3 linked regions of the Ovis aries genome follow. The protein of the gene in region 1 interacts with the protein of each later gene in a biochemical or structural test. Links are inferred from orthologs where the notes say so. Each region holds a gene or a part of one and is shown in the gene's direction. Other genes may lie near its edges.

The links.
Region 2: the proteins of KBTBD8 (region 1) and NOLC1 form a complex in vitro, tested with the Homo sapiens proteins (2 studies listed by BioGRID). The link is inferred for Ovis aries from reciprocal best matches to the Homo sapiens genes KBTBD8 and NOLC1.
Region 3: the proteins of KBTBD8 (region 1) and TCOF1 form a complex in vitro, tested with the Homo sapiens proteins (2 studies listed by BioGRID, with this or other methods). The link is inferred for Ovis aries from reciprocal best matches to the Homo sapiens genes KBTBD8 and TCOF1.

What each region holds. Positions count from the first base shown.
Region 1 is NC_056072.1:34,570,796-34,581,041, reverse strand, and holds the end of KBTBD8 (kelch repeat and BTB domain-containing protein 8), read left to right. Parts: intron 1-3,098; coding exon 3,099-4,213; intron 4,214-6,938; coding exon 6,939-7,402; 3' UTR 7,403-10,236; downstream 10,237-10,246. UniProt on the Homo sapiens protein: Substrate-specific adapter of a BCR (BTB-CUL3-RBX1) E3 ubiquitin ligase complex that acts as a regulator of neural crest specification.
Region 2 is NC_056075.1:22,591,480-22,602,164, forward strand, and holds the start of NOLC1 (nucleolar and coiled-body phosphoprotein 1), read left to right. Parts: upstream 1-3,529; 5' UTR 3,530-3,551; coding exon 3,552-3,671; intron 3,672-6,256; coding exon 6,257-6,312; intron 6,313-6,422; coding exon 6,423-6,553; intron 6,554-6,649; coding exon 6,650-6,786; intron 6,787-7,184; coding exon 7,185-7,350; intron 7,351-9,468; coding exon 9,469-9,590; intron 9,591-9,710; coding exon 9,711-9,852; intron 9,853-10,125; coding exon 10,126-10,254; intron 10,255-10,553; coding exon 10,554-10,664; intron 10,665-10,685. Other genes in the region: PPRC1 (peroxisome proliferator-activated receptor gamma coactivator-related protein 1), read left to right, coding at 431-580, 689-755, 879-1,000, 1,242-1,545. UniProt on the Homo sapiens protein: Nucleolar protein that acts as a regulator of RNA polymerase I by connecting RNA polymerase I with enzymes responsible for ribosomal processing and modification.
Region 3 is NC_056058.1:59,468,267-59,479,110, forward strand, and holds the start of TCOF1 (treacle protein), read left to right. Parts: upstream 1-3,688; 5' UTR 3,689-3,738; coding exon 3,739-3,846; intron 3,847-6,217; coding exon 6,218-6,273; intron 6,274-9,066; coding exon 9,067-9,215; intron 9,216-10,844.

The sequences.
Region 1 (10,246 bases):
GGAAAGAAAAAAGAAGAAACTGGTATACACAAAAGGTATGAAGTTTGGCCTCTAATGAAAATTGCTGGTGAGATTCAGTTATCTAGGCTATCCATTAGATATGGTTAGGTCATTTATGTGTTTATATATGCTACAGTTATGCTTATCAAGCTCTAGGCAAAGCTCATTTTACCTATGTCACTTTATATAATCTTTATAATCCTATCTCTACACTCTTGTCATTCCCCTTTTACAGTGAAAAAAAACTGAGGCTCAAAGAGGTTAAGTGAACTGCCTAAATCATCTAACTAGTAAGTGGCAGAGGCTGGATTTGAGTCCAGAGCCAGGCTTCTTAGTCACTGTATAACTTTTAAGGAACAAGAGTGGGTCCTCTTTAAATTTTAATTTACAGAAGTGTTAATTGTATATTAGATTTAAATAGTAAAAATTAAAAAATCAAAACTTTAAAGTGAAAATATTTATATCTCAGTGTAATTTTATTTTCTGGCTTATATCATTTAAATATCATATTTGCTTACAATTAGTTTTGAGGACCTGACAAATCTCTTGGAAAGAAGTATGCTACAATAGATTTTCTTGCTTTCCAAGAAGTTAAGGAAATGCTTGGAAGGCTTTCTAAGCATAAGATAGGCGAAGTCAAATGAAAGTATTTGGCTAGAAGACTCAAGGATTAGGTTCTTCTCACTTGATAGAGCTTTTTGTACAGAAGTTTCTTGGGCACCAGTGTTGCACCTTATGTGAGATGTAAAAAGTCATACTTAATATTTGCAAATCTTGCATCACTGATGGAAAAAATAGAATAGCTTGCAATCTGCCATGGCTGTTTCCTGATCCCAGAGACTTGTCAGAAATAAAATGTGTATGATTATTAGAAACATATTGCTCAGGATTTTGTGTGAGGAAGTACTCCCACTTTAATTAGAGTTTACATAAAGGAAATGATAGAACAGAGGGGAACTTGCATGTTATACTGCTGTGTGTGAGGCCAGCTTATTCAAGTCAGTAGAGCAGCTCCCTTGATAAAGGGTAACGTGGTAATGTTCTCCTCTGGGATTTAATCTTTGCATAATGAAGGGCTTTCTTTTTCTTTTTAATTGGGACCTATATAACTGAGTTTTTCAGTACCTGAATTGAAAAACCAGCTCATACATTGGAACATTTAGTTTTCAGTCATTCAAGGAAAAAAAAAAAAGTGTGCAGGATATTAAACTTAAATTTTGCATAATAGAAGTAAAATTAAGACTCAAAGGATAGTTAACCCAGGTAATAAGCTGGGTCCAGGTACTCCTGTATAACTCCAATATTACATATTGCATTTTTAAATTAATTTCATGTTTTTGATAAAGGTGTTAAAAGTGATCTGAAAATCTTCCCACTCTTTTTTCATAACATCACACTTAATATAGGAGAGGTCTGGATCTGAATAATCAAGTTTATCACCAGTGTTAGGTCAATATCTTCAACAGACATCTATTAAGCATTCTAGGGCATAACATCCTTTTCTCCAGAGGATTTTAAAAGAGCTTTTGACCTTTTTATAAGTTTAAGAAGTTAAACTTATAAAAGTTCTATAAATTTTAAGAACTTCTTAGAAAGAAACATCAAAGGAGGGAGAAGAAAGGCAAATGATGTTTATAAATGACTAGCACTTTAAATAAAAAGCTAGGCTTTTGACGTCTTAATGGTTTGGCCAAGGAAGTACCGTGCTGTGCTGTGCTTAGTCGCTCATTCTGACTCTGTCCATGGGGATTCTACAGCAAGAATACAAGAGTGGGTTGCCATGCCCTCCTCCAGGGGATCTTCCCAACCCAGGGATCAAACCCAGGTTCTCCCGCATTGCAGGTGGATTCTTTACCAGCTGGGAAGCCCAAGAATACGGGAGTGGGTAACCTATCTCTTCTCCAGGGCATCTTCCCCACCCAGGAATCAAACTGGGGTCTCCTGCATTGCAAGTGGATTCTTTACCATCTGAACTACCAGGGAAGCCCTGAAAGTGCCATAAAAGCACATTAAAAAAGAAAAGGTTGGTCTCAAAGACAAGAACCTGGAATTTTTTGAAAACCAACAAAATCAGATTGCAACAAATCGATTAATTCTTAAGTTCTCTTTAGAAGTAGTCATTTTATTAATATTAACCCTACCCAGATCTTTATTTATGGGCTCCTAGGTGGCTCAGTGTTAAACAATCCCTCTGTGATGCAGGAGACAGGGCTTCAATCCCTGGGTTGGGAAGATCTCCCAGAGAAGGAAATGGCAACCTACTCCAGTATTCCTGCCTGGGAAATCCCAGGACAAAGGAGCCTGGAGGGCTACAGTCCCTGGGGCCACAAAGAGTCAGGCACAACTGAGCATCAATGAGGCTAACATTTTTATTTATAAATAGATAAAACTATGGTAACTTTGAGAAAATCAAGTATATTTCTTGATTTTCTCAAGCAAAAGTTTTCAAAATATCCAAGGATAACTGATGAATTGATGTGCTTTATATTGTTTATAATGATTAAGGAAGCATTCAAAGGATAAATATTTTAAAAAGGAGTAGGAAGAAAATAAGAACTTCTGAAGAACATCTTATTTTTCTAAGCTAAAATTTTTAAAGATACATTTTGGGCACAGGTTGTCTTGTAAATTTCCACTGGGTCATGAGAAGTTTTATTAGACAGTTTCTATATGCTAATGTGTCACACTGATACACCATAGGTATTTGTAAACTTTCTGACTTACCTGGTGATTGAAGATCTTAAGTCCCCTAAAGCAACTTGATCAGAAGCCTGGATAGGGCTCCAAGGAAAATAAGGTGTCCTGGAATATGCCTTGCCACTTTTTGATTTGATTTAGTTAGGTATACTCTGCTTTTCTCAGAGTTGGCACAAAGTGGACTGACTGGCCCTGAGAATAGGGTTTCTTTGAGATTAGCCAGATTAAATCTTCTGCTAGATGATCAACTTTTATCCCTTTCCTGATATTCAGGATATCAGGAAACACATTAGGAAATGTTTTTCAGTTTCAAAAAGTGATCCTTGTGATAACTCTTTACAAACTTGCGACAGTAATTTTTATTTGTAATGCAGATAAATTCACCACTCTTTCCTTCCTAGATCCATGTTCACTAGCGGCCTTACAGAAAGCACTCAAAAAGAAGTTCGAATTGTTGGTGTTGAAGCCGAGTCGATGGATTTAGTGTTGAACTATGCCTATACCTCCAGAGTTGTTCTGACAGAGGCCAATGTTCAAGCCTTGTTCACTGCAGCTAGCATCTTCCAGATTCCCTCCATCCAAGACCAGTGTGCCAAGTACATGATCAGTCATTTGGACCCACAAAATTCTATCGGGGTCTTCATCTTTGCTGATCATTACGGTCATCAGGAACTTGGAGATCGATCTAAAGAATACATTCGTAAAAAGTTCTTGTGTGTCACCAAAGAACAGGAGTTTCTTCAGCTGACAAAGGACCAACTGATAAGTATCCTAGACAGTGATGATTTAAATGTAGACCGGGAAGAGCATGTTTATGAGAGTATTGTAAGGTGGTTTGAACATGAACAAAATGAAAGAGAAGTGCACCTTCCAGAAATTTTTGCCAAATGCATACGTTTTCCTCTGATGGAAGACACCTTTATAGAGAAAATTCCATCTCAGTTTGCACAGGCTATCGCCAAAAGCTGTGTGGAAAAGGGACCAGCCAGTCCCAATGGCTGTACACAGAGACTTGGAATGACTGCATCGGAAATGATCATATGTTTCGACGCAGCCCACAAACACTCAGGAAAGAAGCAAACAGTGCCTTGTCTAGATATATTCACAGGAAGAGTGTTCAAACTATGCAAACCACCAAATGATCTGAGAGAAGTTGGAATCCTTGTATCACCAGATAATGATATTTACATTGCAGGAGGGTACAGGCCAAGCAGCAGTGAGGTATCCATTGACCATAAGGCCGAAAATGATTTCTGGATGTATGACCATTCCACCAATAGGTGGCTTTCCAAACCGTCCTTGCTTCGAGCCAGAATAGGCTGCAAACTGGTGTACTGCTGTGGTAAGATGTATGCAATCGGAGGGCGTGTCTACGAAGGTGATGGGAGAAACTCACTAAAATCTGTGGAGTGCTATGACAGCAGAGAGAACCGCTGGACTACTGTTTGCGCCATGCCTGTTGCAATGGAGTTTCATAATGCCGTGGAATACAAAGAGAAGATCTATGTTTTACAGGGTAGGTGCCCGAGTGGTTAAAGTTATTTATTGGAGTAGTCTGTTCTTTAAGGGACTAGTGAAGAAAATAAAATTTTCAATCAAAAAAGGCAGGTACTTTCAAGTCCCTAAAATGATCATGTAAGTTTTTTTATGTTCTTACTGTCTTTTGACATCATGTGACATAGTATTTTTGAAAACTTTTTTCCCCATAAATAATAGTTCAGCATTTGAGAAAAACTATTTCTGTTCCATTTTTAAGGCTTTAAACAAGGAATCAAGTTTGATATATAACTTTTTGCAGTTGAATGATATATAATCAAGGGACGGTAGCAAGTATTCTTCTTATGGAACTTACTGGATTAGTTTAAAAGAGAAAAAAAGAACAAAGCCTCAAATGCAGTTGTACTATTCAGTTGCCAAAGAATTTTGTATGAAGTCTTATGATGGCAAAGGTTATGAAACTCACTTACAAAGAGTTTGAAATCACACTGTTCAGGATTTTAATTTCACTGCAGTTAATGTTGTCATCCATAATACAGTGTTTTTAATTTTTTTTCACTGAAAAATTTTGAGATGTCATCTTTTTAACATTATAAGATGAGAGGGATGGTAATATACTTAGCTTAAAAATTTTTGTGTAAACAATTGAAAACTGGTACCTTGGTAAAGATACCAGAAAAAGGAACTGAGTAGCAGTAAATAAGATACTTGATCCAAGGTTCTGATTTGTGCTAATATTTTCCTTGTGTTTGGTTTCTTATTTTAGTTGCTTGAATACCGAATACAGTATTGACAATACCAACATCCTTCTTCTTTTGCATTTCTTAACTGCTTATAGATAAATGCTTTCCTTCACTGCTATTAAAAAAATAAGGAAAGGGGTGCAAGTTCTGTGTAGATACATATGATTTTTTAGTTTTTTTCCCCACTGTAAGTTTTTTTTTTTTAATGTTCTTTGCTGTAATCCTTTATTTGACTTATAATTTCTTAGAAATGCCTAAACCCATTTGTTTAAACTTCAGTGTAAAGTTAATTCTCCAGAGAGAGTAAGGAATACTTTCTCGTGCCTCATTTTAGTTGAATGGAAGCCTGGGATGATGTAGGTTTGTTGGTCTTGCCAAAAAATGGAGTATCTGAATGGATGTAAAAATCTATAAAGAATGGTTAGATAGGGCTTCCTAGGGGGCTCCGGTGGTAAAGAATCTGCCTGCAGTCCTGGAGAGCCAGGTTCGATCCCTGGGTTGGGAAGATCCCCCGGAGAAGGGAATGGCTACCCACTCCAGTATTCTTGCCTGGAGAATTCCATGACCTGAGGAGCCTGGTGGGCTATAGTCCATGGGGCAAAGAGGTGGACACACTCAGGGAGTAACACTTTGACTTATATGGTTGGATAGGTTATATCATTCAATATGATGAAGCTCTCTCTGGCTAAGCAGTTATTTTTTAGTAGAGATAGAATTAATTAGAAGACTCCCAAATGGAATATAAAGGTTGTATATTAATTTAAATACTAAAGCAAAGTAACAGTGAATTAACAGATTTTCAGGGTTGGAATGAACATTATTTAATCAGACTGTATTTTATATAAGACAAATCTGAGGCACTGAGGGTTTTAATTGCCCATTACTGGTTTTAGTTTATTAAAGTCATCTTTAGGTTTAAAAATCAACTTTTAAAATGTATTATCTTTCCTTCTTATAAGAAATTTGTAGCTAAGTACTACAGGGTAAAAATGTGTTCATTCCTGTTTTCTTTATTACGAATCCTGTTACATTTTAGTCAAAAAGCATAGGGAATATGCAGGCAAAAGCTGAGAGTTTAACAAACTGTTTTATGAAAACCTGGATTTTTTCAGCATTACTTTTATTAGGTAGGCAGTTATATTTATCGATAGGAGTTAACCTAGTTCAAAACAGTTTTCAAGGGGAAGCTCAATTTAGAAGTAGGTACTTCTGATCTAAACAAAGCCTCTTTGTATAAATAAACTTGACATGACTAGTCAGAAGATCATGCCCTACTGTCAGTGGCTACTGGAGTACCATTTAATCTGATCATAAAGGGTTCAGATTTTCATATCAAAGATTTTATTTGATTCTTTCAAATCAAAGATTTTAATGTTATAATTAGCCAAGCTCTTGTAAATCTTTACTAGCTTAATTCTTTTCGACATTTTTACATCGGCAGTGTGACTCAGCACACCTTTTCATGGTCAAAACAGAATGGAAACGGCCTCATAGTCAATTCCCTAAATGATGTATGTGTTTTCTATCAGCTTAAGGCCATATTTTCTCCTCTTGATATTTGTCTTTGCCTTATAGCAACTCTAAAGTAAACACATTAGTGGCCCATAGAAATCTGAACAATTCTATGTACTACCTTATAGTTAAATAACTAGCACATAAATTTATAGTGGCTTATTCATGATTGAACCTATATTCATATTTTGATCTTACTGGCTAACCATTAGTAATAATACTTTTTATAAGAGCTGGCTTAAAATCAATTTTCTGAAACACCCAAATATTTGGATGGAGTAAATGAAACCAAGCTCTTAACCTTTGTACTGCCATCAAGCCAAAGTAACTTCTCACACTTACCAGTTTGAATGCCCCAAATCAGGTTGATTCTAATATTATGTTACGTTGTGCCATGGGATGTAGATGTTTTAAGCTATCTTATATTTAAATCTTCACATTCTTGTTTTCTTTTCTCTCTCTTTTTTTTTTCCCCTTTCTCTTTTTTAGGAGAGTTTTTCCTCTTCTATGAGCCTCAGAAAGACTACTGGGGTTTCTTAACCCCCATGACTGTGCCTAGAATCCAGGGCTTAGCAGCTGTATACAAGAACTCTATCTACTACATAGCTGGAACCTGTGGAAATCATCAGCGGATGTTTACTGTAGAAGCCTATGATATTGAGCTCAATAAGTGGACTCGTAAGAAGGACTTTCCATGTGATGAGTCCATAAACCCATACCTTAAACTGGTACTTTTCCAGAATAAGCTCCATTTATTTGTTCGAGCTACTCAAGTGACCGTTGAAGAACATGTCTTCAGAACCAGCAGAAAAAATTCCCTTTACCAGTATGATGATATCACTGACCAATGGATGAAAGTGTATGAGACCCCAGATCGCCTCTGGGACCTTGGCCGGCATTTTGAATGTGCTGTTGCTAAACTGTATCCTCAGTGTCTTCAGAAAGTACTTTAATGAATGGCAGGCCTTAGTGAGCTCACCGGCATCTTGTGCTGGAGGAAACTTAGTCTTTCAGTGATAAGAAGAAGTGCTGTCAGTATTTAAGAAAGCTGAAGAGAGTTTACACGTGGAGATGGGTGCTGTTTAAGATGAGTGTAGGGAGGGATTTCTTTTCATCCATGTGATGTTTTCATTTCAGTAAGCAAAAGGTAACAAAGTGCAATTATCAGCATTTTTTTTTTCTGGTATAAAAATAATCACATCATTCTAGAATTTCGTGATGAATAGTCACTGAGATACCAGACGAATTGACAACTATGCACTCTTAGAAGAGCAGTTAGGGTACTATGGATTAGAGACATCCAAAATAGTTTGATGTGACTTTTTATTTTAAATACGGGTAAAAATTTGAGGCAATATCACTAGGACTTTAGCTGTGACCTCTCTGCTACAGAGACGCACTAACTTAGATCCTCATTCTGAATATGTGTATATTTTGTGTACTGTTTTCACGTGTACTGGATTTAAATGTGTTATTAGAGTAGTTTGAAGGAAAAACAAATCAGTCTCAGAAAGAGCTTTTAGTTGGATTGTTTTATATTTCCCATGTTTCTTTAAATTAAGCTAAAGTTTTAAAGTAGTTTTGTGTTGACAATTTTTTCAAGTGCTAACACTGTCTCATTTTTTTTTTTTAATCCCGAGAAGGGCTCAAATTCACAGGTGGCTGGTGCTAGTATAAGTTAACTCATGTGTATAGTTAGGTATATTTCAAATGTCTGAGCCTATGCTTACCTTTCAAATTGGTATGTTAGTTTCATGGCCATTGTACTTGACTTGCTGAACTCTTGTGATTTCACAAGATTCTCTGATTACAGGATGGCAAGCTATGGCTAGTTACTGGTCTAACTGGATTCAATCTGAGAATAGTGAGAAGACTATTGTCCTCATTTTGCACTAACATGGGCCATTTGTCGCCTAACCTCCTTTCCATCCTTACCTGTCCATTCATTATCGGTACAATGAAAGGTAACTTACTTGTCTTCTGCACAGAGCAGAATGTGAAGTTTTAACTCCTACTTTTAAAATTCTGTTTTCCAGAAACATAAAATTCCTGCAATAGTCTCATTTAATGTCTTTTGCATTACCTATGACAATTAAAACCTCATTTAAAAAAAAGTTTTTGCACTTAACAGTTATGAATAGTTTTGCATTGAAAACCTTTGTTCTAACTGCAGGTGACTGAGAAGGAAAAGTGTGAGTGAATAGAATCATAGCATTATAGGTATTAAATCATTTTTCATATTTAACTGATTAATTTCTAACGGAAATACTTACAGAGAGGACAAACCAACTCGTGTTATACCTAAGGCAGATATTTAGATCAGTAACTTATTTTTACTCTTCCTGGAATAAGTAATAAAGGATATAAGTATAGCCAGAGTCTGTCCTTAACTGGAACATTTTGATTCCCTTAAAGAAACAAACTGGCACGGTTTGTATTAAAAACTCTTGCACAAATTGTAATGTGATACTGTGAAACAAATCAAAAACATTGCCTCTTTGCATCACATACCTCGTTTTTCGGAAACTTTCCAAACTGCTTGTCATAGCCCTCTACAAGTAGGGAACGTTTCCTGAAGTCGAATTGAAAGTGGACAGCGTTTAGAGAATTGACATTTTAAAATCCAGTCTTGGGAAGCTGGGTACGTGCTCTCTTCTTGCTGGCCTTGGTAGTGTGTCTATAGTCTCCTTATTGACTGTCAACTAATCAGCTATTTTTTTTCTTCTCAGTTTTTCTTTCTCTTTGTGCTGTTTTGGGGCTTTTTCTGTGAGCATTTTGAAGCATCTACATTGTGATGCATTGCCAAGGGGAGGAAAAACCAAACTAAACATTACAAGAGATGTTCCCATAATTTATTTTTGAAAGCTTTGTTGCTTCCTGAGACTTCCTGCCGCTTTTTGACAATCTCCTGTATTTATTTAGAACACTGTGTTACTTGAAAACATGACATTAGAACATTAACAATTTACATGTGCCGTGTGATGTATAGGAGTACAATGTACTGTGGTTAATTCTGCAGTCGATTTATTCTATTGATCTGCACAACAGTTGATCCTCTAACAATTGATCCTATAACAGTTTATGTTGAGGGTGTGCTCTAAGGATAGTGTGTCAAAGCCAAGGTTTGGAATTTGCTATGGAAGTATCAATAGAATATATATTGAATTTTGTATGAAAAACTATTTGTTTAAATTATATAGCTGGGATATTTTGCCACTTTTCAGATGATTTCAGAAGAGGTTCTAGAAAACTAGGATTAGTAATATGTGTGGGTCTGTGTTTAGATATTTAAGGTACATTTGCTTAGTATGATGAGAATATAAGTAAAAGGCATAATGGGTACTATAGAATTAAAATAGAAGGTGATAGATGCCAGTCCCACTTGAGCTTTGTTTTTGCATTTGAAGAAAGTATGTAGCACTTTCCTATGTATTTTTTATACATTGAAAACTGGATGTGGTATAACTATGTTATAGGAAAGTAGAAATTGTATTCTTTATTTTCCATCTTTGTTTTCTGTTATCCTACAAAGTTGATGCCTAAGCATCAAGCTGATTTCACTGGTGCATGAGAGAAAGTGGATGTGATCTTGCAAGGAATCAGATTTTCTATGTGAAACAGTTTAAAATGGCATTCGATGTTCTGTGCTCAGGTATGTAGTTAAGTACTGTAGTCCTTTGGGGGCAAATGTGTAGATATTTTTAAACATTTTGCCATAATTGCACAATTTTTTGCATTTTTATCTGATGGCATTGTTTCTTGTAATAAAACTTTTTCTGACTGAAAAGTTCCATTGT
Region 2 (10,685 bases), on another chromosome or scaffold:
TACAGATCTAGCACAGTCACCTCCCCTTAATGCTATAATCATAGTACTCCTGTGAGACATGAGGGGAGCAGGATTCCAGAGACACGGGCCTGCCTGCCCTCCCACCTCTCCCTTACACCCGCCACCCCTCGGCTTGTTGTAATACCTAGGGCCCAGCACTTTATCTCTGAGTATTATTTTTATTCTTTCTGACTTGTTAGATATTCTTCTATTTTTAATTGCATAATTGACAATAAATAAGATCAATGCCCAGATACTCTAGAACATGTAAAGTTCATGAGGTTCTCAGTTTGCTTTTCTTCTGTACCTCCTCTGCTTTTCTCTGCCTTTGGTCCTGAGCTTCCTGACAGGGAGGCAGGGCTGGGGCCAAGGTGAGGTAAATGGATGATATCTCCACTCCTCCATTTCTGTGTGATCTTTTGTTCTCTAGGTCCAGTTGCAGTTCTTCTGGACGTTCCCGAAGATGCTCTTCCTCTTCCTCCTCCTCATCTTCCTCCTCCTCTTCCTCATCCTCATCATCTAGTTCCCGAAGCCGATCCCGCTCTCCATCTCCTCGCCGGAGAAGTGACAGGAGGCGGCGGTGAGCATGTTTTCAGGGAGTTGGTGCATCTGGGGTGCAAGAACCTATGAGTTGAGACTTGAGCTGTCTAATGTCTAGGGGGCTGACAGCACCTTTTTCTCTTGGCAGGTACAGTTCTTATCGTTCACATGACCATTACCAAAGGCAGAGAGTACTGCAGAAGGAGCGTGCAATAGTGAGTAGAGGAACAGGTCCCAGGAGGAGAGGGCTTGTGCCTGAGCCATGACATGAGCTCACAGAGCCATCTGCAGCTATGGCTTCGGCTCATGGTGTGTCAATTTTCCTTGACCCAACATAGGAAGAGAGAAGAGTGGTCTTCATTGGGAAGATACCTGGCCGCATGACTCGGTCAGAGCTGAAACAGAGGTTCTCTGTTTTTGGGGAGATTGAGGAGTGCACCATCCACTTCCGTGTCCAAGGGTGAGGTTGGGCCCTGTGCTCAGGATGTCCTTCCTGTCCTATTATCTGTCTCAGTGCTTTGTCTTTCCTGAATGCTCCAGTGTGCTGGGCAGTGCAGGACACCTTCATCTCTACAATCAGAGGGTTGGCTATTTGGGGAATGAGAAGAAGCTCTCCAGTCCCTGTACCCTGGGGAGCTGTCTCTTCTCCACGGCATGTGCCCAAATAGCCATCTCAGCTTCTGTCTCACCCTCCCCTCCAGTGACAACTATGGCTTCGTCACTTACCGGTATGCCGAGGAGGCATTTGCAGCCATTGAGAGTGGCCACAAGCTGAGGCAGGCGGATGAACAGCCCTTTGATCTCTGCTTTGGGGGCCGCAGGCAGTTCTGCAAGAGAAGCTATTCTGATCTTGGTGAGTGGAGGGAGGCCCTGAGCCTTTGGTATGCTCCATCTCCTCCCTGGAAGAATCCCCAGCCTTTTGAGAGGCAGACTTGTCTTCCTCTGACACATGAAGGGCTTAAAGGGTGGGATGAGAGGAGAAATGGGGGCTCTTCTGTCTTTTGACTTAAAATTCAGGAGATTTTAGCTCCATCCAGTATAGATATGAGAGGTAGCTGGCCATTTGAGACCCTGTGGTTGGGAGGTGTACTCAAAGAGACCTTGATGTTTGTCTCTCTCTACCTTTGTAGACTCCAACCGGGAAGACTTTGACCCTGCTCCTGTAAAGAGCAAATTTGATTCTCTTGACTTTGACACATTGTTGAAACAGGCCCAGAAGAACCTCAGGAGGTAACCCTGGGCCCTTCTCCCCCATCCCCTTTTCTTTGGAGGTGCCCAACCTCCTCCATTCCCCTCCCCCAGTCTAGGGGAGAGAGCTGCTAGCGAGGAGATGACTGTTTTCTAAAGAAATGGAAAAAAAGTGAAATAAAAATGTAATACATCAGATTTTAAGTGGTATTTGTTTTTTATAATAGGCTTTGAAACACATTAACTTGCATTCCTGTGTAAGATGGATGGGGTTGAGGCAGACTAATAAACATGAACTAGAGAGAACTGCCAAGTGCTGTTGTGCTTTTTTCTATGGTGCTGGTGCCACAGAAGTCATGTTTCCTCTCTGAACCCAACAGGGACATTCTTACTTCCATTTGATTCCTAGGACCCCTCTTCAGTTAGGTGCAGAATCCTATTGGACTTGAAACTGCTCTTCAAGAGTCTTGTAGGTGAAATCAGTCATCTAGGGCAGTGCTTCTCAGACTTTGAAAGGGTAGCTAAATTTGGAGATCTTTTAAAAATGCGGATTCTGAGTTATGGGGTGGGCCTTGAGATTCTGCATTTCCAACAAGCGTGGTGCTATTGGTCTGGGAAGGAATTTGAATATCAGGGACCCAGAGGAAGTTCACACCTGTTGTAAATAAAGGTTTTTGAAACTGAGGCTTGTGTGTACCATTGCGTGAGCACAATGCTTGGCATTCAGCAGGTGCTCAGATGTTTAAAGAATGCATGCAAGTGAATAGACCTTTAGGAAAGAGGGACATACAGGAATTATACCAAGGACAGGGGAATGCCTATTTTGAGAAAGGCAAAGAAGTGTATCCTTTGAGAAAGTGAACCCTTACCTCCCTGAGGGGCATGAAGGAGAAATAGTCTAGGGCTAGTAGACAGGATTGTAGGGATTGCTATCTGCTAATGTGAACTGAAATATGGAGAACCTGAAATTAACTTAATAGGCCTGGGCATTGATAAATTTGAGTACTCATGACAGAGGCAGTTGAGGGGTTTTCTAGTTCTTCCACGGGGAGGATTCATAGTGTGGACTGTGACCCAGGAAGTAGAAGGGTTATTTTCAGGATTATCCGTTTGAAGAGATTGCTGCTGTCGCTCGGGTTTATTGCACATCCCCTTTTTCTCTTCATGAAGCTGACGTGAAGCTGTGTAAATAAGGGAGGGTAGAGTTGTCTCATGGGCAAGTCAAGATTGAGGTGGACAGTTTTGAAGATCAATACCTCACCACTACCACAGATAATCTGAAGGGCCCTCGGTAATGGAGTTGGGAGTGCAGAGGTTGGGGTGGTATTTTGAGAAAGGGCCTTCCAGGGTGTTGAAGTGAAGATGGGGAAGAGTGGGAATCCACTGGCAGCGCAAATAGGGGACGGTGGGATATGTGACCAAGTTTAGAAAACTCAAGGTCAGCTCAGGCCCGCCGACCCACGCCTTACTCTGATATCTGAATGCTACGGGTAACCGCTGCACTGAGAAAGGTGGCTCCAGCAGGAAGGCAAGGCGCGGGAAGTCCGAAGCTTTCCCGCCGCCACCAAAGGCGTGACCTCTGACGTAAGGGCTCCGCCTTCACAAAGCAGAACGGCGGGCTCCGCCTTTCCAAGATGGCGACACTCGTGGGACCGGAAAGCGTCCATGGATTTCGCCTTTACCCTGTCTCCGAGAGTGCGCCCGCCCCTTCCGGCGTGTCCCGCGCAGCGCGAGGACGTTGCGTGGGTCCGCCCCTAGGCCGCCTCTTCCGGTTTCTTGAGTCGTGTGCGTCCGCGACGGTAGTGACGCGTATTACCCGGAGGATGGCGGACGCCGGCTTACGCCGCGTGGTTCCCAGCGACCTGTATCCCCTCGTGCTCGGCTTTCTGCGAGATAACCAGCTCTCGAGCGTGGCCAATAAATTCGTCAAGGCAACAGGCGCTGTGAGTCCGGGGCTTGGATCATGGGCTGGGGTGGGATCACCACAGGGCTGCGGGCCCTGGCATGCTTAAGTCTGCAGGTAGGGAAGTGTGCGGGGTCCGCCTGACTAATGACTGCCAGGTCTTTGTGCCGAGCTCTCGGCGGTTGGTGGAAAGCCTGGAGTCTTGGCATCACTTCCACGAGGTCTGGCTACTTAGCGCTGAGTCTTGCTTTTTTCTGGTGAGAGGTGAGGCGGTGGCAGCGTGGGACCCTCGTGGCCTAGGTCACGTAGCTAGCAGAGTGCGACCGGGCGGGAGCGCCTGGTCCTACCGGAGGCATTAGAGGCTCCTGGTAGTGCCAAGCGTGACTTGAGTTTAACTCTCAAACGAATTTACCCAGGACTCAAATAGAATTGCTTTAGAAATAATGAAAACTGAAAAAAAGTGAAAGTTAGTCGCTGAGTCGTGTCCGACTCTGCAGTCCCATGGAGAAGCTCACCAGGGTCCTCTCCAGGAGAGAATCCTGGAGTGGGTAGCCTTTCCCTACTCGGGGGATCTTCCAGACCCAGAGCTCTAATCGGGTCTCCCTCATGCGGGCAGATTCTTTACTGTCTGAGCCACGGGGAAGCCGTTAATGAAAGCTGGGATTTTTGTTACTAAAGAAAAAAATGAACGGGAGTAGAAGCAGGGTTGAGCATCAAGCAGTTGTGGAATTTCTGACTTCCTGCATCAGACAAGTGTAGGTTTGGGAACAGTCTCTGCCACTTTAAAAGTGTATGATCCAGGCAGCTTGCTTAATCTCTTTGAATCTGTTTCTACTTCTATGAGCATGCCATCATTCACTTTATAGGATTTTTGTGAGTTTTAATAACATGATATATGCAAAGTGGCAATACCAGTGCCTGGTGCTCAGAAAGCATCAATGAGTGGAAGTTGTTATGTTGGCTATGGTACCTTAGGATGTTTAAAAAACAAATAAAAGGAAGATGACCAGGAATATGAAAGGTTTGGAATCTCCATCTCAAAGAGATCAGACAAGACTGCACAAAAAAACACCTTGAAGATAGAGTGGAGTGGTGAGGTAGTCCTTAAAAGTGAAAGTGTTAGTCACTCAGTGGTGTATGACTCTTTGTGAGTCCATGGACTCTAGCCCGCCAGGCTCCTCTGTCCGTGGGATTCTCCAGGCAAGAATCCCGGAGTGGGTTGCCATTCCCTTCTCCAGGGGATCTTTCCCACCCAGGGATCAAACCTGAGTCTCCTGCATTGCAGGCATATTCTTCACCATCTGAGCCACCAGGGAAGCTCATATGGTAGTCCTTAGTGGTCTTAGTCTTTGATTAAGAAGATAAGCTTGTTCTTTGTGGTAGAATCAGGTTACACAAGTTATAAGTCAGATCAGCCTCAAAGGGCTTCCTTAAGCTGAGACGGCCTGCCATATGTGATCTGATAGAGCTGCTTTCATATTGGAACTGTTTTGCATTGACTGTTAGAGGCTGCAGAGAGTGTTTCCACATCCGGCTGGATGGAATTGGGCCTTTCAAAAGAATCAGAAATCTTTTTTATGTGACAAAAGCTAATCTTTGTGGAGGGCATACTAAGGGCCAGATGCTAAGCCCCTTATGTGCATTATCTCATTCTCTCAACAGCTTAGTGCTTTATAGTATTATCTATCTTAAAGGGAAGAAAAACAGTATTAGATCAAGTGATTTACTCAGGGTCACACATTACTAACCAGCAGAAGTAAGTTTCACATTTCATCTAACTTTGAGCCTGTACTCTCGTATATACTGTAATGCCTTGCCATTTTTTTTGAACACCAACTCATAATTCATAAGCAGTGTAATTAACAGCTGAATGCAGTTCTGCACTGAATAATTAGCATGCTGCTAAGTCACTTCAGTCCTGTCCGACTCTGTGCGACCCCAGAGACGGCAGCCCACCAGGCTCCCCCGTCCCTGGGATTCTCCAGGCAAGAACACTGGAGTGGGTTGCCATTTCCTTCTCCAGTGCATGAAAGTGAAAGTGAAGTCGCTCAGTCATGTCCTGCTTACTCTTCGAGACCCCACGGACTACAGCTCACCAGGTTCCTCTGTCCATGGGACTTTCCAGGCAAGAGTACTGGAGTGGGGTGCCATTGCCTTTTCCTGAATAATTAGCATAGATTTTTACTAATCTTCTCTTGATGGTTGATTTCCAGTGGTTTGGAATTATAAACCAAGTTGCAGCAAATATCTTCCTGTGTAGGTATTTGTTTCATGGGTAAGGATAAATTCCTGGATAGTACACTGCTAGAATAAAGCAGTGTTTTTAATGGAATGCATGTTTTTAAAGGCTTTGATAAATAGGATTGATAGGCAGGGGAATAGATGATGCCAGAAACTACAGGAATAACCCAAGTTTTTGCTACCGAAAATTTGGAAATACATAAATAGAATATTTTTCTCCTAATTTATACAAGTAGGAGAAACCTTCAGAGATGTAACATTTATATCAGATAGAGCAGACAAAATAAGTGACTTTTAATGAGAGAGTAACACAAAATTTGAACTCCCATAGAATAACCAGGATAAAACTTTCTTACCGTGCTTTCTCTGTCTTTTCTCTTATAGACCCAGCAGGATGCCAACGCCTCTTCCCTCTTGGATATCTATAGTTTCTGGCTCAAGTAAGTCTTCTCTTTGCCAGTGTGGCAGTTTTCTCCCTGTGAGTAGGCTGGGTTGTATTCTTTGTTTTGAGAAGGTCCTGTTCCCCAGAAGTTAGCCTAATCTGCCTCAGCAGGTCCACCAAGGCTCCAAAGCGGAAGTTACAGGCAAATGGACCAGTGGCTAAGAAGAAGACTTCATCCAGTGACAGCAGTGACGACAGCAGTGAGGAGGAAAACCAGGCACCTCCAGCTAAGAAAGCTGGTAAGGCCTAGCAGGGAGTTGTGGTTCCAGGAAGAGGATTTGTAGTCTCCCAGTACTAAATGGCTGATTCTTACTGAGACCCGTATTTTTGTTCAGCTGTACCTGCCAAGCAGGCCAGTCTGCTTCAGCATCCTGGAAAGGCTGCAGTCAAAGCATCCGAGAGCAGCAGCAGCAGCAGTGAAGAATCCAGTGATGATGAGGAGGAAGAAGACAGAAAGAAAAAGCCTGTTGAGGTGCAGCTTTGGGGAGGAAAGGAATTGCTTAAGGGATTGGAAAGAAGAAGTCCAAAATCTTGGCTTTTAGCCTGGTGGTGCTGGTTATAAACAACAGATTATTACGAGGTCTTTCAGAGAGGTTGTAAAAATATGAGGTTTGGAAAGGATTTTGTAGGGTGAAAGTTGAACCCTGAATGTAGAGGAAATTCAGTCCATTCTGCAACCCTGACAGTATTGGGTTTCTCTGGGACACCGTCAAGGACTCCAAGAGTAAAAGATGTTTTGTGGACAGGTGCAGGGAGCTCTAAACAGGGAATGTCAGGAACAAGGCCTAAAAAAGGGAGCTTGCTTTTGTACCTTAAGATGTCCTTTGGGTGCCCTAAAACTCTTGCTGATTCCCCTGGCTTTTCTTACAGAAGGGAGTTAAGCCACAGGCCAAGACAGTCAAAGCTCCTCCTAAGAAGGCCGAGAGCTCTGATTCCGATTCTGACTCAAGCTCAGAGGACGAGGCACCAAAGAACCAGAAGCCAAAGACAACACCTGTGGCAGTGAAAACTCAGGCTAAAGCCCCAGCCAAACCAGGTATCGTTTTTGTTCCCAAGAGGCTAGGCTGGGGACCAGGTTGCTCTGGGGACTGGTGTGAAAATTCCTCATTCACCACAGGGATGAAATGGCACTGGTTATTGAACTAGGGGTATGGACTGGTGTCTTTTTTTTTTAAATTAGGGACTAGTAACTACAGAAATGGCTTGCCTGGTGGCCCAGACAGTAAAGAATCTGCCTGCAATACAGGAGACCCAGGTTCGATACCTGGGTCATGAAGATCCACTGGAGAAGAGAATAACTACTGCCTCCAGTAGACTTGCCTGAAGAATCCCCATGGATAGAGGAGCCTGGCGGGCTATAGTCCATGGGGTTGCAAAGAGTCAGACAAGTCTGAGCAGCAACTAACACTTTCACTTTTTTCAACTATAGAAATAGTGGGCAATGAGGGAAAACATGTTTAAAAGACTTCAGAGGGCATATTCAAATGATTTGCGTCATAAAATTTTTTGGAAGACAGGTTTATTTCTGAACTTGGGCAGGAAATTTATCCTTTGATAATACCACGGTAAACCACAGCCTTCTCCTTTATGCTTGCTGCAAAGGCAAGAGAATTGACAGTGAAGAGCCTAAGCTACTCTATCTTGTAAAAGAGCTCCATTTTGCAAAGGTACCGGGCAAACAGACTTAGACTTTGGATATTGCCTAAACTTGCCCCACTGTGCGCGAGCCAGTCAGCCCTTGGATTAGACCTCCTGACTTTAAGTTCAAGAATTTGTGATTTACCTTGGAAGTAATGAGTTACATTTGTGATTTACCTTGGAAGTAATGATTTACCGTGGAAATGGGAACCAATCAGAACCCAACACCTAACCCTTCCACAGAAGGTAACCAATTAGAGGTCTCCCAACCTGGAAACTCCCGTTTTTCGAATTTTTCGCGCGAGAATACCCTATATAAGCAATATAACCCAGAGTTCAGGGCTCCTCTCCTAAGCCACTGCATCGGTAACGGTGGGAGCCCCAGCTCGAGCTTGGTAATAAAAACTCTCTTGCTTTTCCATCAGATATCAGCTCCCTGGTGGTCATTGGGAGATTTTGAGACTTGGGCATAACAACAGACTCCTAAGTACCAAGCTAATAGGAGGAGGCTTTAAGAAATATTTATTTATTTGGCTGCACCATATCTTAGTTGGTGCATGTGGGATCTAGTTCCCTGACCAGGGATCAGACCCCCAGCTCCCTACATTGGGAGCATGGAATCTTAGCCACTGGACCACCAGGGAAGTCCCAGTTCATGTCTGTTTAAAAAATATTTTTCTTTCTTTATTTCCGGGTGTACTAGGTCCTTGCTGTGTATGGGCTTTCTGCAGTTGAGGTGAATGGAGGCTGCTCCCTTGTGGTGGTGTGCAGGCTTCTTACGCTGGTGGCTTCTCTTGTTGCAGAGCACAGGCTGTAGAGTGTTGGGGCTTTAGTTGTGGCTCCCGGGATTAGTTGTCCCAGGGGATATGAGATCTTCCCAGAACAGGGATTGAACCTGTGTCTCCTGCATTGGTAGGTGGGTTTTTGTTTGTTTGTTTGTTTTTTTACCACAGAGCCATGAAGGAAGGCTGGCAGGTGTATTCTTAGCCACTGGACCACCAGGGAAATCCAGCTCATGTCTGTTTTCAACATACCTGTCTTACAGTTTGTTGAAACAATACATATGTATGTCGGAGTGGTTGGCTGTAAAAACTTGAGCCCAGCTATCATCTGAAGGGTATTCACACCCACCTTATGGTATTTCAGACAGCCAGCTAGCTTAGTCTTCTTTCTCTTATGCTTGTTCTTGGGACTTATGTAAGAATTCTTCCTTTCTTAGTACCATCATGAAGTCCCAAAAGTAAGGTGAAATGTACACTCCTTTTGAATTTTATAGTCAAAGTACATCTGTGTTCTAGTTGCTTGCCAGCAAAGATCAATCTTTACTACTCAGGAAGAATTCTTTTTTATCCTGGATTTTGGCCCTTCATTTTCTGTTGTAGCTGAGGGTTTGACTTCAAGAGTGATGGTCATTCCCCTCAGGATCTTCATGAAATTCTGCATCTTGGCGGCAGTGCTGCTGAAGGTGGCGGGTCCGAAAACTGTCTTTATACTCATGTTATTTCTATTTTCTTAGGTACATCACCTCGGCCAGCACCTAAAGTCGCCAATGGCAAAGCAGCTAGTAGCAGCAGCGGCAGCAGCAGCAGCAGTGATGATGACTCAGAGGAGGAAAAGGCAGTAGCCATCTCTAAGAAGGTATAGGCCTTAATTTCTACCAGGGAAGAGGGGACAAGAGGGTGGAAGTCCTCCATTTCCTGGCAGGATTGGTTGGGTCAATATTTTCCTGTGGTAATTGATTTTCTCTGTGTGATGCAGACCATACCTAAAAAGCAAGTTGTGGCTAAGGCCCCAGTGAAAATGGTTGCTGCACCTGCCCAAAAGAGTTCCAGCAGTGAGGACTCCTCCAGTGAGGAGGAGGAAGAGGAGCAGAAGAAAAAGCCCATGAAGAAAAAACCAGGTGACTGGACACGGGGAGTCAAGCTACCACTGACGAGGGCCCAAAGGCAGGAGGACCTCTGCAGTCACCACGTGGACCTTGGCCTGACAGCTGGCCTGTCCCAGAGAAAGGAGAAAGCCAAATGGCATGCCATCGTCCCTGCCCTAGTCTGTTAGGAGTGAGTCACTAATCTGAGCCCATCCTCAAGGGAAAGGGAATTAAGCTCCATTTCTAGAAGGAAGCGGTATCAAAAAATTTGTGTACATATTTTATCACACTGTCCCTTTTAAACAGGTCCCTATAGCTCAGTCCCCCCGCCTTCTGTTCCCCCACCCAAGAAGTCCCTGGGAACTCAGTCCCCCAAGAAAGCTGCAGAGAAGCAGCAGACTGTGGAGAGCAGTGAGGAGAGCAGTGATGAGTCTGGTGAGTCATTTCTTGTGTTGGGTCTGGGAGTGTGTGAGGAATAGGGAAGGAAATGCTTCTCTTCTGCTTTTCTCTGAAGCACCTCAGGGCTAATGCTCTGTACCGGTCTTTGCATCCTTGTTTTTGGCTGTGTCACATATCTTGCGGGGGTCTCAGTTCCCTGACCAGAGATTGAACCCCAGCCATGGAAGTGAGAGCCCAGAGTCCTAACCACTGGGCCACCAGAGAACTCCCTACACTTCTTTTTCCTGCCTCTGGTGGGACTCTGGACCCAGCCTAATGTCATTGCTTCTCTCAAGATTCAAGTTCTGAGGAAGAAAAGAAACCTCCAGCTAAGGCAGTCATCGCCAAGGCAGCTACTAAAGCAGCTCCAGCAAAGAAGGCAGCAGAGAGCTCTTCAGACAGCTCAGGTAAGGACGGTATAGTGTAGG
Region 3 (10,844 bases), on another chromosome or scaffold:
CAACACACACACATACACACACACACGTACACACACACGGAGCCGTCACAACATCTCTCCCCTCCCCTTTACACAAATACTTCTCAAAAGACCCACTGCCTCCCTCACCCCTCCTTCACTCATCAGATCGCTGCCATCTGACCCTCTCCATCACTTTCCACAAACAGTATTCCCTAAACCCACCACCAACAGTCCCCATGACTGTCAGTAACTGAAGCCACTGGTCCCATCCTCATCCTTCTGACCTCTCAGAACATTGCCCCTTGACTCTCCCCACTTTCCCAAAACTCTCAGCTTCCTTCCCTTGGCTTCCTTCCCTAGGCCCACTCTCCTGGGTTTTCTCCCACCTCTTGGGCCCTCCTTTGCAGCCTCTGCAGGTACACCCTCATTTTCACAGCCACAACCTGTGGGTGTGCCTCACAGCTCCATCCTGGGGCACCTTCTCTTCTCTCTGGCCAATCTGGGCCTCCCCCACAGCCACGTGATCATCTGTCTCCTGACAACTTCCCATCCTCGTGTGCTTCCAAACCCAGGCCTATGCAACATCTACCTCCAGGGTCCCAAAGGTCTTTCAAGCTCAACACGTCTAAAGTGGAACTTGCATTTTTCATGACCCCCTCCACAGCCTCCCATCATCACTCACCCAAGCAACTCCTCCCAGTTCACCTTCAGGTTTCCCCATCTCAGTGAAAAACCACTGCCTGTTTTCATGGAAACCTCAGAGGTCATCCTGACACTCACTCTCCATCCCCTCCATTCCCACACATCTCTTTGATGATTTTACTTCCTGATACCTGGAACCTTCCACAGCCCTCCACCTGTACTGCCATCAGCACCACCCCTGTGATAGTCTCCCCGGATGCCTGCCTGCCCTCCTAACCCTAACCTGTCATCTTGCAGCTACTCACACACACACACACCCCATTCCACTCTCTGCCTACAGGGGTCACATTAAAATGCAAATGTCATCCTATCCTTCTTGGACCTACACTGTCAGTGGCTTCCTAAATCTCTGAGGATGAAGAGAAAGATTCTCGATACAGAACCTGCCTCTGCCCTCCTTCTAAACTCCCCAATCCCCCTGCGCTCCCTCTGGGCCCTGTCACGAAGGCATTTTCTCACCTCTTCTCTCAGTGGTACCTTCCACCTCAGGCCCTTTGCACAGGTCCGTTATTCTGCCTAGGATTCTTCCCCCTACCCCACTCTCCCCTCACATAGTTCAGAGGTCCTCACAAAGATCACTTCCTCAGGGAATCCTTCCCTGACCCCCAAGCAGAGATAGATCCTGTCATCCTGTCAGATGATTTCATGGTGACGGCTAATGGACACACAAGTGCAGTACTATTCTTGGAAATTTTCTGTGCGTTTCTGCTTAGAACTCATTTACTCCTCATGGCAACCCTATCAGGTAGAAACTATAATTACCTCTATCTTATGAGTGAAGAAACTGAGGCACCAAGAAGTTATGTAACTTAGCGAAGGTCACCTAGTTAATAAGAGACAAAGCAGGAGTTTGAACCTGGGCAGAATGACTCCAGCATAGCTTTTAAATACTCCTCTTCCATAAGAAAAAAACTCTATCCTTTTCTTTTCTACACTTACTCACCGCTTGTAACAATGTATTTGTATGTGTTTAATAACAAAAACAATATAAATAACAAAATGCATGTAACAAATTATATGTATTTGTTAGGTTACGTCTCCCCGTTGAACTATAAGCTCTGTTGGCGTGGAGACAGTTTTATTTCCAACAGTAGTTGTTCAATAAATATTTGCTAAATAGCTGAATGTAGATTAGTCTCCCCTCTCTTCCTCACTTACCATATTCCATCAGTTACCTGGTCCTGTCCCTATTTCTTCCTGGAGCAATCGTTCCTAAGCCTAGGGTGGTCAGGTATGTGCTTACCCCGTATCCTAAAATTGGACGGAAAACGTTATGTGTCTGTACACCTTTAGAATTTTCTACAGCAAACGTTAGGTGCTTCTTGCTCTCTTCATTTTCTCGATGGACACATGAAGTTAAGAACGGCTGGTTCAGGACTTCCTTGTTGGTCCAGCGGTTAAGAATCTGACTGCCAATGCAGGAGGCATGAATTCGATCCCTGTTTTGGGGGAGCAACTAAGCCCGTGTACCAACAGCTACGGAGCCCATGCTCTAGATCCCACATACCGTAACCTCTGACACCCTAGAGTGCCCTAGAGCCCCTGATCCGCAGGAAGAGAAGCCGTTGCCACAGTGAGAGGCCCAAGCACTACAACTAAAGAAAGGCTGCGGGTAGCAATGATGGCCTAGCGCAGAAGACCAAATAAATAAGGAGACCCAAATAGATAAATAAATGAACAGCCAAATAAAAATTTTAAATATATGTTAAAAGAAAAAAAAGAATAGCTGATTCAAATATTCCCCAGCCTAACTCACCCTCTCCCTGCCAATCTCCTCTCCACAACTACAGCACCCTCTCATCCAGTTTTGTTCTCCAAAAATCCATCCTCTATGCGTTGGTCATAGCAATCTTTTTTTTTTTTTTTTGGCTGTGCTGGGTCTTTGTAGCACGAAGGATCGTCAATCTTCATTGAGGCATGTGGACTATTTAGTTATGGCATGAGAAGTCTTAGTTGTGGCATGCAGTTTTTACTTCTCTGACCAGGAATCAAACCCAGGCCCCCTGCGGTGGGAGTACAGAGTCTTAGCCGCTGGACCACCAGGGAAGTCCCCATTGCAATCTTTAAAAAACACAAACCCAAGTCACCCTCCTGCATAGAATCAGACAGAGACTGGCTATTGCCCTTGGAGCAAAGTGCAAACTCTGACCAGGTGGAGCGGGTGTTGAAGGCCCTGTTAACTTGTCCATCCTTCTGCATCCACACTGGTTCCCTCAACCCTCCAACTCAACAGTCCAGCAGCACAGACGGCGTTTTATGTTTGGGTTTCCTGGCCTGTACCGAAGTGGTTTCTCCTGTCTATATTCATGCAGTGCCCTCTGCCTGGGATGCCAGCCCTCTCCTCTGCACCTAGAAACTCCTATTCTGTCTTTAAGCCTCAGCTTAGATACCCTCTTGGGGTTAGGGGCCCCTCCTTTCTCCCATAGGCTGTGCTTGTCCCAGACAATGTGCAGAAGACTTTGAACCATAGTTGCTCGATTACCAGCCTCTCTCTTCCCTGTGAGCTTTGAGGGCAGCTGCCACATCTTATATATCCCGCAGGCCTAGCCTAAGCGCTTGCCGAAGGTATGGCGCTCAATAACTATTCAATGAATGAATGAACGATGACAAATAGCACCGGTTCATGCGTTCTAAAAAGATTTGTGAAATGATTAAATGAGTGGGTAAGTGGAAGTTCGAGTCTAGAGAGAGCTGGAGAATAGGATATTCAGAGATGAGTAAAATCCGATCACAGCTGTCACACAGCTAAGAGGAAGACAAATGCCTTCAAGGAGCGAGGCTGAAGGATTTAAGAGGGAGGCATTCTAATCTTAGGCGGCCCAGGGGGCGAGTCCGGATCCGACTCCCGCCCTCCCCGCCAATAGGCGGTCTCAATGCCTCCCATGCCTCCTCCCTTTTCATCCGCGGAGGCGGGGCCGGCCACCTTTGGAGATAAGACTACGCTTCCCGGCGTGCCGCGCGGCGGGCGGAGGAGGAGCCGGAAGTGGGGGTCGCGAGGTCTAAGGGCACAAGGGAAGTGGCGGGCGGGGACTGAGGGGGGCGTGCAGGTGAACGGACAGGCCGGGGGTCGCGGGCATGGCTGAGGCCAGGAAGCGGCGGGAGCTCCTTCCCCTGATCTACCAGCATCTGCTGCAGGCGGGCTATGTGCGTGCGGCGCGGGAAGTGAAGGAGCAGAGCGGCCAGGTAAGCGTGCGCGGGCCGTGTCCAAGGGCCGCGTGCAAGATCTATGGAGAGGCGGCCCGCGCCTCTTCCTCTGGCGGCCTGCGGGCGCCGAGATCCCGGATCCCACTGTGCTTTGGGACGCGGCCCGGGGTGCTGAAGGGGCCGCAACCTCTGCCCCGCACCTCTGTGGCTCCCAGTTCCTCTGGGCCTCACTTTCCTTATCTGTGGAGTGGGCGGGCCGGGAAGTGAGACCGAACGCTCTGGGCTTTATAATTCCCGCGCCCCTTACCTCCACCCCCTTCCGGGAGCGACAATTTAAAATTTCGAAGTATCAGGCCACGTGGCTCGGCGCGGCCCCCTAGGGCGAAAAGGTTGCTGCGAGTCTGAGGAGAGAATCGCTACCAGCCCAGAAAGGAGCGAAAGAGCGCCCGAGAAGGGGCCTGAAGCTGCTTGACTGAGCTGGAGCTCAAGCCCCTAGCAGCTTTTCTGTACTAATTGGGAGTTGAACTCGTGGTGTAGTCGCTCTTACTTCATCCATCCCTCAAGCAGCTGTTAATCTGGCAGTGAGGGTGCTGGCGATAGAATAGCGAGGAGGGTCCCTTGGCTTACTAATTAGAGTTTACAGGCTAAATCTGCTAGGGGAGATTGACATAAATCAGAGGACCACAAAAGTAACTGTGCACTCAGCACTGCATTAACTGCCAAGAATGAGAAGCATAGGGTGCTAAGACAGGAATGGCAGATCGCCTTAGTCAGGGATATCCAGACCTGCTCTCCAGAGGAAGTGAATGCTACTTTGAGATCTGAGAGAAGGAAGTGGATGTTCCAAGTAGGAATGCAAAGTGTTGCATATGTACTGGCCGCCAGAAAGTTTATTGTGACTGAAGTATGGAGTACAAGGGTGACAGAGATCTCTGGGGAGACAGAGGCAGGAAGTGGGCTTCCTTTGGTTTTGGTGAAGTAGTGGTAAGCCACTGGAAGGTGTTAAGTTGGTGTGGTGTCTGTTGACTTGATTAGTCGGTGTCTGTCTGGCTATGGTGTAGGCTCTGGTCATGATACTTTCTCTCAGGACCTCTGGGAGAGACTAAAGGATGACAAATAAGACATCATCTGTGCTTTTCCCAATCTTTGGACCTCGGTAGCTTTTCTTACTTCAGTTATATCACTTACCAGCTACAGGGAACAAAAGGGAGTACCTATCTTCTTTGGGGCATTTGCCTAGACGAAAGAATCCTGCCCTCATGAAGCATATATTCCAGCAGGAACAGACAAATGACTGAATTTTTTTTTAAGTTAATGATACAGTGTATGGGGTGATGGTAGGTGCTAGGTGTAAAAATAAGGCAGGTAGAAGGGATAAGGAATATCAGAGTTAAATTATCTATAGGGTGGTCATGAAACCCGAGTGAGAAGGTGACTTTGGGGCGAGGACCTGAAGAAAGTGAAGGAGTGAGCCATATAGTTGGCAGGAGAGAGCATTCAAGACAGAAAGAACAGCCAGCCCCGATGGGGGCGGAGTCCCCTGACAGATTTGAGGGACAGTGAGGAGGCCAGTGTGCCTGGGGCCAAGGAAAGTGAAACTGACACTTTTAGTCACTGTCAGTTACAGACTGAATGTTACTGGCTGCTGTGCTGTGCAGTTACTATTGTAGACTGTCTCCTTAAGGCCTGAGAGCAGCATCTTAGATGGGTACTGCTGTTATCCCCATATAAAGAAAGAACCTGCAGCTTTAAAGAGCTGAAGACAGTAGACTATCCAGTTAACAAATTAATTCTCTTTGCCTGACCCTAGATGCACCCTCCTGGCCACTCTGCTTAAATCCCTGGCCCTGCATTACTCACTCAGCCTCCTTGGGGCACTTGACACTCCAGGTTCTTGACATTTGCAGAGAGTAGACTTCTGATCTTGGCTCCAGAGGGCTTTGCTTCTACCAAAGGATTGGCACCATTTGGTTCCAGTCTCTGCCCAGTGGGTGAGCAGACAGCGTGGTTGTCTAGTCTGTGGTTCATACTGCCTGGGGAAATTGACCAGCTTGACTTTTGAAAGGTCAGGGGTGGAAAAAGCCCTGTCTTGTGGCACCTAAGCCTGGAGAGTGCCAGGGAGGCTGGGGGCTGAATAAATGCTAGCTTGGAATATTCCCACTCTACTCTGTCAAAGGTACTTCTCACCAGAATATTGTCTTAAAAGGTTTTAGTTGGAAGTACTTGCCCTGTGTGTCTCTGAAAGGTTCGGGTGGTCCTGGCAGGGCTGAGCAGACGTATTGCCCAGAGCAGAAAGACCCCCTTCTCAACCATCTCTCTGTGGTTCATGATGTCATGAGCGTGGGGCCCAAGGAGGAACCTTGCTGTACTCAGGAGGGTTAATTGCTGCTTTCTCTTTGCTTCTCTGCAGAAAATTTTCCTGAGTCAGCCTGTAACCCTTCTGGACATCTATACACACTGGCAACAGTAAGTCTAATGGGGCTGAGGGAGTGCAAGAAGGACACCCCAAGCTCTCAGCATGAAATCAGCTAGGATACTAATCTGGTCTAAAATCTGTCCCCGTAACCCACTGTAGATACTTTTATCACCTCTAGGAAGCTACACCACAGATATGGGTGTCTGTCTGCTAGTAGAGAGGACACTGAGAACTGTGAGCAGTGTCTCTGAAGGACAAGAGCTTCTTGGCAGCTTGTTATTCATTCAGTCAATGAGCATTTATTGAGTAACTGCTGAATGCCAGGCTCTCAGTACAGAGATATTGTCATGAATGAGACATGCATGGTGGCTCCTTTCCTGGAGCTGACACTGGAGTCAGGGAGGTAAGCATGCCACAGAGAATGAGACAAATGAGTATAAAATCACAGTGGTGGTGAGGATTATGAAAGAGGTGCCTGGGGCCAAAACTGCCTGAATAGGTTAGCATCACCTCATTTAGGTGTGTAGGAGTGGCTTCCTTGAGGTGACCTTTGAGTTGAGAACTGCAGGAGTGGGGAGGTGAACTCGGCAATAGGTGTGGAAAGGCTGATGGAGTGTAGCTGGCAGAGGGAGCTGCTGGTCTGAGGCTGTAACTGCTGTGCAGTGCAGACGAGACTAGACAATCGTCAGGGACCACCCCATGACAGGCCTGATCACCCACAAGGAGAAGTTGTGTCTTTGCCCTGAGAACCATGGACGGGTGAAGTGAAGAGTGGTGAGGTCGCTGGCTCGACTGGGTAGGCTGTGGATATCAGCCTCCAGACAAGAGCTGCTAGGGCTTGAGGCAGGAATAACATACGAGGGAGACAGTGTGCAGGAATACCAGAGGATGAGATGAGGGTCTGCAGATGGTTTGGAGAAGCAGTGTAGTCAGCTCCCAGGTGTCTGACTTGTATGCTTGAATGGAAGGAACCCAACGTGGAGGGAAAGATTTCAAAGACATGCTGAATGTGAAATGTCTGTGAAACACGCAAAACAAGGAGAGGGGATAATCCAAGGACTTATCAACAGAGGAATGGATTGAAAATGAAGGAGCGGGTAATCGCTCCCTCAGTGAACTGGCCTGACCACAGCCAACTACGGGAGTGAAGGACCTGCAGTTGTGACCCATGAGGAATGATAGTGAACATGCAACTGTCTGGGTGGAAAAAAGATGGCAGAGGGGCAGTGGAGGGACCACTATCTGCACATGTTTTGAGACGAAGGGAGTGGGGTGTTCCCTAGGGCCTGAGAGAGAAGTGGGACCCATGTGAACCTGCTTTAGGAAGCCAAGTGTCAGCTTCTGAGTGAAAGCAGTTGGTCATCAGAGCTGTCCAAAACTGAGGTGGGCTACAGTAGAGTGGTGAGATCCCTGTCATCAGAGGTGTGTAAGCAAAGGCGGGCATGGTAGAGAAGGGATCCCAGCTTCCAGTAGAGAGCTAAGGTCTTTGCAAGCCCTGTCAGCCCTCAGTTCTTGGCTCTCCTCTGCTGCTAAGGTGAGCACAGGGTACACCCCCCACTTCCTCTTCCACGTGCCCAGGTGTCTGCTATTTGTGCAGCACTTCCTTCCCCAGAGAAGTGCTTCACTGAGCCGTGCCTCACACCCTCCCCTACCACCAGCCCCTTCTCTGGATGAGCGGTGCTGACTTGGACAAGGACCTCACACCCACCAGCCTAACCTGGTGGTTCAAACCCAGCTGTATGACCTTGGACAAACTTGATCTCCCCAAGTTAGTCTCCTTCAGTAAAATGAAGATAATAATAGTAAATAAAGTGCTAAACCTGGCCAGTGGAGGCATTACTCCTCTCCCCGCTTCTGTTTACTGAGCACCTACTTTGAGACAGAACTGTTCTTGATGTAGTTGGAAACAAACTGGAAGAGAAAAATCTCTGCACCTGTGAAAGTTACGTTCTACGGGGAGAAGAGAGGCAGAGTGAACCTATACGTGTGATAAATGAAACATGTTTTTGTAGATTTCCCAACAAGTGGCCTTCCTGGGAACAAGGGAGCCAGGCAGCACATCCCAAACTGTGGCAGAGCGACATCTGTCCCACATGGAGAGTGTGGCACACAGACAGTGACCCCCTCGGGCAGGAGGCTGGGCTCAGAGGATGGGGTGCTTGAAAATTCTGGCACCTCAGCCATCTGAGTGCTTGTCCTCCCCAGAGCCTCAGACTGTGACTCTGGGCAGGTCAGTTAGCCGTGAGACTTAGGCTAGGTACTCTAGGTACTGAAGTGAGCTGGAAAAGGTTCTGCCAGCCCTCCCCTCCCCGGGCATGCAGTAGGGGCATCATCAAGTAGGAAGTTAAGTAAAACGATGGGAGAGAGAAAAGTGCTCTGAAGAAAATGAAACAGGGCGGAGAATATCTTAGAGGACAGTGGTGACTGGGGAAGGCCTTTCCGAGAAGGCTGTACTGCAGTTGAGGCCTGAGGGACAACAGGGACCTGGGCAGTCTTCCAAGAGGAGGTGACTGTGGGTGCCACAAGTCCTGAAGGAAGGAGGGACCTGGATGATTCTGTGAAGTGTATACAGTGCTGGCGCTTAGAGCTCTGTGACTCTTAGCGGCTGTTAGAAAATACTGCCCACCCTTCCTGAGTGTTTGAAGATAAACTGTAAAAATACAGTGAAATGAGTGAAGATGCACAACACGAAATTGTTTCTCCACTCTGTTTCATCACTGTTTAAAGTCTCTTTATACACTTTCCCTTTGGGGTCAGGGAGGATGTGGGAGGTCTTCCTTTTCAACTATCCTAGGGTTGTCCTTGCCCCCTGGTTGAGCTTGCCAGTCACCCTTGTCCTGCAGAACTTCGGAGATTGGCCGGAAACGGAAGGCAGAGGAAGATGCGGCCTTGCAGGCCAAGAGGACCCGCGTGTCAGACCCCATCAGCAGCTCAGAGAGCTCGGAAGAGGAGGAGGAGGAGGAGGAGGCAGAAGCCAAAACCACCAAACCCAGTAAGAGTCCTGGGTGCTGAGAGGGCCCCTGTCTCTGAGCCAGGGGCTCGGTGTAGTACCCTGCACCTCTCGGGGACCGGCTGTTGTATATTGGATTGTTCCAAGGGAGAGTCCACCTCCAGCTTCACCTTCTGTGAGCCCTTGGAGGACCAGGTCCTTTTAGAGGGAAGGTTGTAAGAGCCCCACATACCTATTTTAGTCTTGATTTGAGCCCTTCCTCTGGGCCAGACATTGTGTCCCAGGTGCTAGGAATCCAGTGGTGAACAAAAACAGGAATGGGCTCTTAGAGTCTAGAGGCATGTAGAGAGTCAGCCTCTCCAGTCCAGGAACTGCATTTTTTTAAGCCTTCTAGATAAGTCTGGTAAAAACAGAAGAGCAGCTTTCATTTTCAGAAGAACTGCGAGAGAGATTTCAGAGACAGCAGCTGGCAGGCCCCTCTTCTGTGTGCTCAGGGGCTATTTCAGCAGTTGCCTCTCTGAAGGGAGCAGGTTTAGCACCTGTACGCTGTCCCAGGCACCCTGGTTCCAGTGCGTTGGCAGGGGCCACCCTGTGAGGCCTTCACAGCCCCCTCCTATCCCCGTTCTCCAGCTAGTTTGTGCTTTAACCAACAGTGGTCACAGCTCCACAGAAGAATTACCATTCTCTGCATTGTTGGTTTTTACTTACATAGAAGGTAACTTCTTAATTTTTAAATATATTTTCTCATTGTAAAAGAAATACAGGCTTCATTATATTCATTATAGAATATGTGAAAATGACTTTTTAGAGAGGTAGTGGAAAATTACCCATATTCTTGGCCACGTATAATTTGGCAAATTATTCTTCCATTTATTTTTCCTGAGCATGTTTTTTTCAAATATTGGCTATCATACTGAATATGTATGTTATACTTTGCTTAATCTTTGAAAATTATAATGCAAAACAAGTTCTCTGTGAACTCTACAAAACATACAGAAGAGAAGTGGGAGGTTTTCTGTTCCCCTTGTCTGCTCCCTTTCTTTTCCCTAAATGCATCTCCTGGAAGGTAGCCTGACGATGCTGATGACGCTCCCCTTTGCATCTGCACTCAAACAGATAGACATCCGTACAGGCCTACATCCATACTTACAAACTATTCGAAACAAAAGCTGTATAACTGCCTACTGACTGCTTACTCAATATTAATGAATTTTTTAAGCTGTAATAATGGAATTATAATTATACTTTTTAAGAGCCCTCATTGAAAGAAACCTGCTGAAATATTGTTGGGCAACGTAATATGATGTCTGGTGTATTCTTCAGGATAATACTCACTGGGATGGATGAATGCGGGGTACAGTTGAAATAAGATTGGCCACAAGTTGGTAATGGTTGGGGTTGGGTGGCTTAGTCCTCTTCCTCAGTACTTATGAACGGGCCTAAAATGTTCCAGAATTAAAAATCAAGAAAGGGGTTCCCTGGTGGCTCAGTGTTAGAGACTGCCTGCCAGGGCAAAAAACGTGGGTTCAGTCCCTGGTCCGGGAAGATCCCACGTGCCACGGAGCAGCTAAGCTTGTGCACCACGACTATTGGACCTGTGCTCTAGAGCGTGTGCTTTGCAACAAGAGAGGCCCCCACGCTGGGAAGCCCACGCACCACAACTGGAGAGTA